Tribolium castaneum: one gene and its partner. The protein of the gene in region 1 purifies or fractionates together with the protein of each later gene. This does not show direct contact. Links are inferred from orthologs where the notes say so. Each region holds a gene or a part of one and is shown on either strand. Other genes may lie near its edges.

The links.
Region 2: the proteins of deltaCOP (region 1) and beta'COP fractionate together in Homo sapiens (co-fractionation; 5 studies listed by BioGRID and IntAct, with this or other methods). This does not show direct contact. The link is inferred for Tribolium castaneum from reciprocal best matches to the Homo sapiens genes ARCN1 and COPB2.

What each region holds. Positions count from the first base shown.
Region 1 is NC_087394.1:32,202,856-32,207,457, forward strand, and holds the start of deltaCOP (coatomer subunit delta), read left to right. Parts: upstream 1-1,531; 5' UTR 1,532-1,684; coding exon 1,685-1,687; intron 1,688-1,796; coding exon 1,797-1,836; intron 1,837-1,894; coding exon 1,895-2,118; intron 2,119-2,176; coding exon 2,177-2,356; intron 2,357-3,741; coding exon 3,742-3,953; intron 3,954-4,000; coding exon 4,001-4,162; intron 4,163-4,211; coding exon 4,212-4,422; intron 4,423-4,469; coding exon 4,470-4,602. Other genes in the region: hfw (protein halfway), read right to left, coding at 20-67. UniProt on the Homo sapiens protein: Component of the coatomer, a cytosolic protein complex that binds to dilysine motifs and reversibly associates with Golgi non-clathrin-coated vesicles, which further mediate biosynthetic protein transport from the ER, via the Golgi up to the trans Golgi network.
Region 2 is NC_087398.1:12,749,809-12,754,025, forward strand, and holds the end of beta'COP (coatomer subunit beta'), read left to right. Parts: intron 1-1,052; coding exon 1,053-3,264; intron 3,265-3,312; coding exon 3,313-3,424; intron 3,425-3,475; coding exon 3,476-3,511; 3' UTR 3,512-3,627; downstream 3,628-4,217. UniProt on the Homo sapiens protein: The coatomer is a cytosolic protein complex that binds to dilysine motifs and reversibly associates with Golgi non-clathrin-coated vesicles, which further mediate biosynthetic protein transport from the ER, via the Golgi up to the trans Golgi network.

The DNA of each region.
Region 1 (4,602 bases):
TTAAAAAAAAAACACTCACTAAACTGATGTGTAGTAACAGTAGTCTTGTGAGCTTGTGACTGCACATTATTCATGTCAATTGACAAACATATTGATTTCTTGATGAGACAAACAAATTATAAATCCTCTACCACCAATGTTTTATTCATGAAATAAAAAATGCTTCAAACTCAGTACCTAATCATCAATTTTAACACATTCCTATGATGGATTTACAGTTTTCAGTGCAGTCTATGTACAAATTTTTGAATACACTGTAACCACCTAAACGATAATTTTCAAACTAATCGGGGTATTGGAAAATATCGAACTGAAACACACTTGCGTCAGAAAAATGCCAGCAAATAATTGCTCAACAAGATGTGCAAACTGAAGGAAAATTCAAGAGCCAATCGAAAGAAGAGTAATAAAGTAAAGTAATTATTTAGTTTGAGATATTTACCAAACGCACTATTAATAATGGTTTACAGGTAGATAATAAATAACAGTTAATCGTGCTGGCTGATTATATTTGTTGATTATATCAGCTTAAAGTAATTAAAAGCTTCTTGCTAATACTCGTACCTAAAGTGTAAAAAATTAAGTAAACGAATGAATAACAATATCCGACAAATTATTGTGTTAATAAAAAATTATTGTTGTTTATTTTTCTCACATTTACAATTTTTTTGATTACCATTGATTACCTTTAAAAAATGAGAAAATAATATAATATATCGCACAAAAGTCAGACTAACACACGTTAATATTATTCTAATCTTAAATTTTTGAAATTTGACACTTTACTGTGGCATTTTTGTATTGTTTTCTATCTTTAATTAACATTTGCAGTAGCATACAGGAAAATACTATGTTTTTTTCATAGCCTTATCTTATGACTTTATGATAGACAAAGAATGGTTAAAATTTTTTACTTATTAATCAGAATGTAATAAAAAATAACTCTGGCCTATATTTTCGTGATCTGGTAGCCAAGATAAAAATTTTGGAATGTTTGATATTAAAAAAAATTTAAATTTTCAAAATACTTGCAATTTAATCACGATATTTTATTTAATCATTTTTATTGCACTAGCTATACTTAATACTCAAATAACCCAAACCACCCACCTTAGAAATAAAAATAACTTGTAATTCTAGGCCGCAATTTTTTTTTGATATTCAATCAATTTGTTCAGATACATATCTTTACAATATCATAATTTACTATAATCTATTAAGACAATTTAGTTTGCTGAAATATTCTTAGGCCATAGTGGATAATAAAAAACCGAAAATATTTTTTTTTAGTTAGATACAATTTATTATCTGGTTTATTTCTAAAATAATTACGTTTTTTTTTGCTTTTTTTCACATTCCTGTATTGCTATATTTTAGTAGGAACAAATTACTAAATAGCTGAAGCAACAAAAAATATAAAAATAGAGCAGTTATTGACTTATTTAGTTTGATTTTAAGTAACTTATGAGTAGAAACTGGAGCATTTTCGAATTTTGCGCCTAGAGCTGGTGCAGTGAATCGGCGTAAGGTTGGCTGACTGAATACGGTCACGTCACTGTTTTTCTCATTCAACAGCAAGCACAAGTCAACGTCATCTTAAAAAATTAATAGGGTGTAATGTTTTGTAAAATATTATTTTAGTTTTTAGGAACATAACAGCAACAGACCTTTCACAGTCTCTAAAATGGTGAGATAATCTTTCACACACCACACAAATCCAACCTTTCACAATTCCAATTTAAAATTTCCAAGTTGCCATTTTACGCATTTTCTCACGTTATAACATATGATTTCAGGTGCTCATAGCAGCGGCGGTCTGCACTAAGGCCGGTAAAAGTAAGTACCCCACATAAACCACCGAACCATGTGTTGCAACCTTTCTCTGCCTTTCCAGCCATAGTCTCTCGGCAGTTTGTTGAGATGACCAAAGCCCGCATTGAGGGTCTCCTGGCGGCTTTCCCCAAACTTATCCCAACAGGAACACAACACACCTTTGTAGAGACCGACTCGGTCCGATATGTATATCAGCCACTTGAGCGCCTTTACATGCTCCTGATTACCACAAGAGCTAGCAACATTTTGGAAGATTTAGAAACTCTGAGGTTGTTTGCGAAAGTGGTAAGCTGTCCAGACCCATGGAAGCCACAAAAACATCCTCACATTGTCATTATTTTAGATTCCCGAATATTGCCGCTCATTGGAAGAAAATGAAATTGCGGAAAACGCATTTTCCCTCATTTTTGCGTTTGATGAGATTGTTGCTCTTGGGTACAGGGAAAGCGTCAATTTGAGCCAAATTCGCACATTTGTCGAGATGGATTCACACGAAGAGCGGGTCTATCAGGCCGTCAGACAGGTAATAAAATTGCTAAACTGGTAAAATCATTTATTATCAAAGTTTGTACAACAACGGACACGGCTATTATTTCAAATTTGCTATTTCATGATTAGATTGCCTCACAGAAAATAAATTAACAACAGTTCTAGAAATTGTAATGCCAAAAAGTCGTAATTCCAGTTGGCAATACTGAATTCTAATTTTAAACAATGTAACTGAAGTATATTTCTGGTTAAGGTTTTGGATTCTGTCATCAGTGACAAAAAAAGGGAATTTTTTGGTTAAAAATTATTAAAGCCAAGAAGTTGTAATTTCAGATGGCAATACTGACTTTTAATTTTTAACCATGTAACTCAGTATATTTCCCGGTAAGATTTTGGATTCTGTCTTAAATGAAAGCGGTTTGAAAGAAATAAACAAAATGACAAGTTTTCAAAGATTTTGTGTTAGTCACAGCTCTTAAAGTAATTTTGGTAATAAAGCAAATAACTCAGTATTGCCAATAAATTTTTTAAGATGTTAAGTAAAATTCCTCCCAATTTTAAATTTTTATTTGAGGTATAAAATCAGATATAATAAATTTTTCGACACATTATTTCATAGTGACCCAGTAGAAGGTGAAATAAAAATTAATTTGCTGTTAAAAGTTAATTTAACAGTTAATTTGGTAAGTGATCACTGATCAGCTGTTCTAACGTTTAAGTGAACGAATTCATCGCTAATACCTGTCTCACTATTTTTTTTTGTTACCCTGATGGATTTTATGTTGAAAATTAATAATGGTATAATGAACATAAAAAGAATTGCTGTAAAATCTAGAGTTCTTATAATACCATAATAATATTCCGTTTCACATCAACATAAAGAGACTATGCTATTGTTTGTATAACTTGTTGATATACCTACCAGGTGAATAAAGAGAATGAAATCTAACGTGTTTTTTTTTGCTTAAACTATTTACTTTTTGGAAAAACTACTAGCAGTGTGATTAAAGAAAATGTTTATTTTTTTGTATGTGTAGTTTTTGAATTTTTTACGACCCACTTATTTATCCACTGGTTTAAAAACTATGAAAACTTAAAGACAAGCGTTATTAAATTTTTAAATTGCTTTTATTTACAATAAATTCAAGATTTAAAGTTTCACGAAAGGAAAAACATCTTATTCAGACAGAATGTTTAGCTTGGGCATAGAAAGCCATTTCCGATATTTCTGCACTTTTAAACCTCCTCACGGAGGTCTTAGGGCGAATAAAATAGAAACAGAAGACATGAGACATCTAACATTTGATAGAAAGCATAATATTTCTTTTAGAGCCCTTTCCTATAATTGAATTAAGGCATGCTGTTTGTATAGATTCGAAACCAATGTAATTTCTGATTTACGAACTGACTCCTCTTTAGACACAAGAACGCGAAGCTAAAAACAAAATGCGTGAGAAAGCTAAAGAATTGCAACGCCAGCGAATGGAAGCCAACAAAAAGGGCGTCAAACCATCATTTGGTAGCAGTGGAGGCTTTGGTAGCTCATCTGGTTATACTCCAGCCCCTTCAGTCGGCGATGTTGCCAATATTTCAAACGATATCAAACCACCAGCTTATTCCTCCGCTCCTCAGTATGTTAAAAACATCCAAAAAATTTTTTTTTAAATTGATTTAATAGGAAACCTTCGACTCGAGGAATGAAACTGGGTGGCAAAGGCCACGACGTTGAGTCTTTCGTAGACCAGCTTAAATCCGAAGGCGAAAATGTCATTGCACCAGTTAATAACAGTATTTCACAAGGGGGAATGAAAACACCAGCGATCAAGTCCGATATTAATGAGTAAGAAAATAAACAGAATAGAGTAGAAAGTGACTTGAATTATTTCCAGTGTTCACTTGAGACTGGAGGAAAAACTAATCGTTCGAATGGGCCGTGACGGCGGTGTGCAACAATTCGAGTTGTTGGGGTTGGTGACACTGCACATTGGGGACGAAAAGTGGGGGCGAATTCGTGTCCAGTTGGAAAATAAAGACACGCGTGGCATCCAGCTCCAAACTCACCCCAATGTAGACAAGGAACTTTTCAAACTGCGTTCCCAAGTACAAACAAACCAAAAAATTATTGTTGATTAATTTCGTTAATTTAGATTGGGCTCAAACAACCATCCAAACCATTCCCGTTGCACACAGACGTCGGTGTCCTGAAATGGCGATTGCAAAGCACAGATGAGAGTTTAGTGCCTCTCTTGATCAACTGTTGGCCGTCGGAAGTGGGCGATG
Region 2 (4,217 bases), on another chromosome or scaffold:
TCTAAATATTGGACCAAATGCTTGATAAGCGGTTATGACGTCATAATTTCAGCCTTAAATCGAAATAACTTGAGTTAGAGAGCAGATACAGAGGAACGGTTTTCACTGTTGTAATAAGTGCTTTCAGTACTATTATTTATAATAAAGTTGTTTTTTAACTTGCCAATGTCTTTTTTGCTGAAAACAATGAATATTCAGTTTGATATACAAAGAACATAATTATTTTTCTTTTAACGGCACATCTTCTAAATTTAAATTCTTGATATTTTTAATTCATATTCTACATTCTACGATCAATTTTTGAAGGGCACTGTTAAGAGAAGGCTCGTTTAGTACCAAGAAATCATGCAGTTTTTGACGGCATTGGAAATAGTTTCTATTTTCATATATTTTCCATAATATGTAGTTCGAGCATTGAATCATTGCTCCATTTCTGTTATTAACTTTCAAAGTATGTGTTGTTAATTTTCATGAAATATTCATTTCATTCAAAATGGAAAAAATATTAGTGAGATATGTCACGTTGCATCCAATTTTTGTCGTCTGCAAGTTGATGTTATATGTTTGTTCAATTTATTTAGATAAACGGTAAATAACTTCACATTTCTTTGAATGTTAAACTTTGACACCTTCCTTTAACTGTCCGTAAAAGTAAGAGTAATCCGTAAGAGTATTGATTTTTTTTTCTGTGTAATCTAAAAGCCTATCTCATTGCAATGTTCAGTTGTATTAGGGCAATCTGATTTATTTTTTACGTGATTGGAGCACAGTTTGAAGGTTCGTGGTGTCTGTACATATAAACACTGATACCCAGAATGAAACCTGATCGGTGTGTGAAACTATTAGATGATCACCGAATTTACTGTTTTAATTTACCAATTTTTCAAACGCGAGGAAATCTGACACTTTTCCATGTGTTCACAATTTTAATTTATATTTTGATAGAATGTACAATCGTTTTTGTTGCCCCGGTCGCTACATTAGTATATCCACTGGCTTTGAATAATTTTACACTTGCTATTGTATTACAATGCGAAATATGAAACCTCTAGATGACATGCTTATCAAATTATGGAACTGGGAGAAAGCCTGGGCCTGTCAACAAGTCTTCGAAGGCCACTCTCACTACGTAATGCAAATCGCAATCAACCCCAAAGACAACAACACGTTCGTAAGCGCGTCCCTCGACCGCACATTGAAAGTGTGGCAACTGGGTGCTTCCACCCCCAATTTCACGCTCGAAGGCCACGAGAAGGGGGTCAATTGCGTCGATTATTACCACGGGGGCGACAAACCCTACATCATTTCAGGCGCCGACGACCGTCTTGTCAAAATCTGGGACTACCAGAACAAAACATGCGTCCAAACCCTCGAAGGCCACACTCAAAACATCAGCTCGGTGTGTTTCCACCCTGAACTCCCAATCGTCCTGACAGGGAGCGAAGACGGCACTGTCAAAGTCTGGCACGCTAACACACACCGTCTTGAAAGTAGCCTCAACTACGGCTTCGAACGCGTTTGGACGATTTGCTGCCTCAAAGGCTCAAACAACGTAGTTTTCGGGTATGATGAGGGCAGTATTTTGGTCAAAATCGGGCGAGAGGAGCCGGCAGTTAGCATGGACGCCACTGGGGGCAAAATAATCTGGGCCAGACATTCGGAGCTGCAGCAAGCCAATCTGAAGGCTTTGCCCGAGGGGGCCGAGGTCAGAGACGGGGAGCGGCTCCCAGTGGCTGTGAAAGACATGGGGGCCTGCGAGATCTACCCCCAGACGATCCAACACAACCCCAACGGCCGGTTTGTTGTTGTGTGCGGCGATGGGGAGTATATTATTTACACGGCGATGGCGTTGCGGAACAAGGCCTTTGGGGCGGCTCAGGAGTTCGTTTGGGCGCAAGATTCGAGCGAATATGCGATTAGGGAAGCGGGGTCTACGGTCCGTATTTATAAAAACTTCAAAGAGAAGAAGAATTTTAAACCGGATTTTGGGGCCGAAGGGATTTTCGGGGGGTGGTTACTTGGGGTTAAGTCAGTGGCGGGGTTGACGTTCTACGATTGGGATAGTTTGGATTTAATCCGAAGGATTGAAATCCAGCCAAGGGCGATCTACTGGTCCGATAACGGCAAATTGGTGTGTCTTGCGACCGAAGATAGTTATTATATCTTATCGTACGATTCGGACCAAGTCCAGAAGGCTAAGGACGAGGGACAGGTGGCTGAGGACGGGGTTGAGTCAGCGTTTGAGGTCCTGGGGGAAGTGAACGAGACAGTTCGGACGGGGTTGTGGGTCGGCGATTGTTTCATTTACACGAATGCCGTCAACCGAATTAATTATTTCGTTGGGGGTGAGCTTGTAACCATAGCTCACTTGGACCGGCCTTTGTACGTCCTCGGCTATGTCCCGCGTGACGATCGGCTCTACCTCGCTGATAAGGAGTTAGGGGTTGTCAGTTATCAGTTATTATTGTCGGTACTCGAGTATCAAACTGCAGTAATGCGTCGTGACTTTACCACAGCCGATAGAGTATTACCCTCGATTCCGAAGGAACACCGGACTCGAGTGGCCCACTTTTTGGAAAAACAAGGCTTCAAAAAACAGGCCCTTGCTGTGAGCACGGACCCCGAACACAAATTCGAACTAGCCTTAGCCTTGGAGGACTTAAACACCGCTCGAACTCTGGCCCAAGAAGCGAACAATCCGCAAAAGTGGAGCCAATTGGGTGAATTAGCCGCTTCGACTAACAACCTCCAACTAGCCAAGGAGTGCATGCAAAGGGCGCAGGACTATGGGGGCCTCCTTCTCCTGGCTACGAGTTCCGGTGACGAAAAACTTGTGAAAACACTGGGCGAAAATACACACTCTGAAGGCAAACACAACTTGGCTTTCTTGTCGTTTTTCCTTTTGGGAGATTTGGACAAGTGTCTGGAGATTTTGATTTCGACGGGGCGTTTGCCCGAAGCCGCGTTTTTCGCTAGGTCGTACTTGCCCGATAAGATATCCGAAGTTGTGTCCTTGTGGAAGGCGAAGTTGTCGACGACGAATGAAAAGGCGGGGCAGAGTTTAGCCGATCCGAAGGATTACGAAAATTTGTTCCCGGGTTTGAATGATGCGATTGCTGCTCAACATTTTTATAGTATGGGGAGGAAAGGGTTACCGTTGGCCAAAGATGCGAAGAAAATTACGCCGAATCATGAGAGAAATGTTGTGCAAGAGATGAAGGCGCAAGGGGGCGAAGGGTTCAGTGTGCCAGTGGCGCAGACTAGGTTGGTTGGGGGGTTGTTGGTAGTTTTTGAGTTAATTTTGGTTTTTAGCCAACCGGTTCAGAGTGAAATGAAAGCGCCGCCCAGATTGCAGCAAGAGGATGAAGATGATCTTGATCTGGATTTGGAGGGAGTTAACATTGATGATAATATAGACACCACGGTAAGAGACATTCTTTACGTCTGAGGTTTAATATTGACAGTTTTTTTTTAGGATATCAATATTGATGATGATTTGTTAAGTGATTAATAAGGATAATTATCCAATACTAATATTTAATCCGAGATTTAATCGTTAATGTTTTTTATTGTCAAGTATTTTATGTAGGTATTCCATAAGAATTAAAGTTACATACAGTTTCTCAATGGGTCTTTATTTTTTATTTATTAATTAATGATGACTATTACTTAGGAGACGAAACATAAGACAAAATTGCTTCTGAACCCAAAAAATAGTACGCAGAGTATTATACCGTCTCGACGTCAAATTGTTTTAAATGAATTTAAATCCAACCAATTCTTTAATTACTTGAAAAAAAATTGAGAAATGTTGAGCTTTGCGCTATTATCAGCCTAAGAAAAACTGACGACTAAAATCTTCATAAGAAACATGAGAAAATAGTTATTTATAATACGAGTGAGAAAACACAAGCTTTAAGTTTGAGAGCTGCATACCTAGACACCCGAGAAGTTTAAGCGTTTTCGGAAGTGTTATTAATTTTTTTGCTGGTACATTTTAATTTAAAACACGTTGCTTAAGCGTGTTTTAAAATAGTGAAAACATTGATTTAAAACACGTTGTTTATAATCTAGGATTCAAATATTAAAAAGAAGGCTTAAACTGTTACCAACCAAAAAAAAAAACATTTATTTGAGTGCTTTAATAACCGCGTGTTTTTTAAGTTTTTAATGTTGGTCACTGAGTTTGAGCGACTTTTTACCGAAGCAGCTTAACT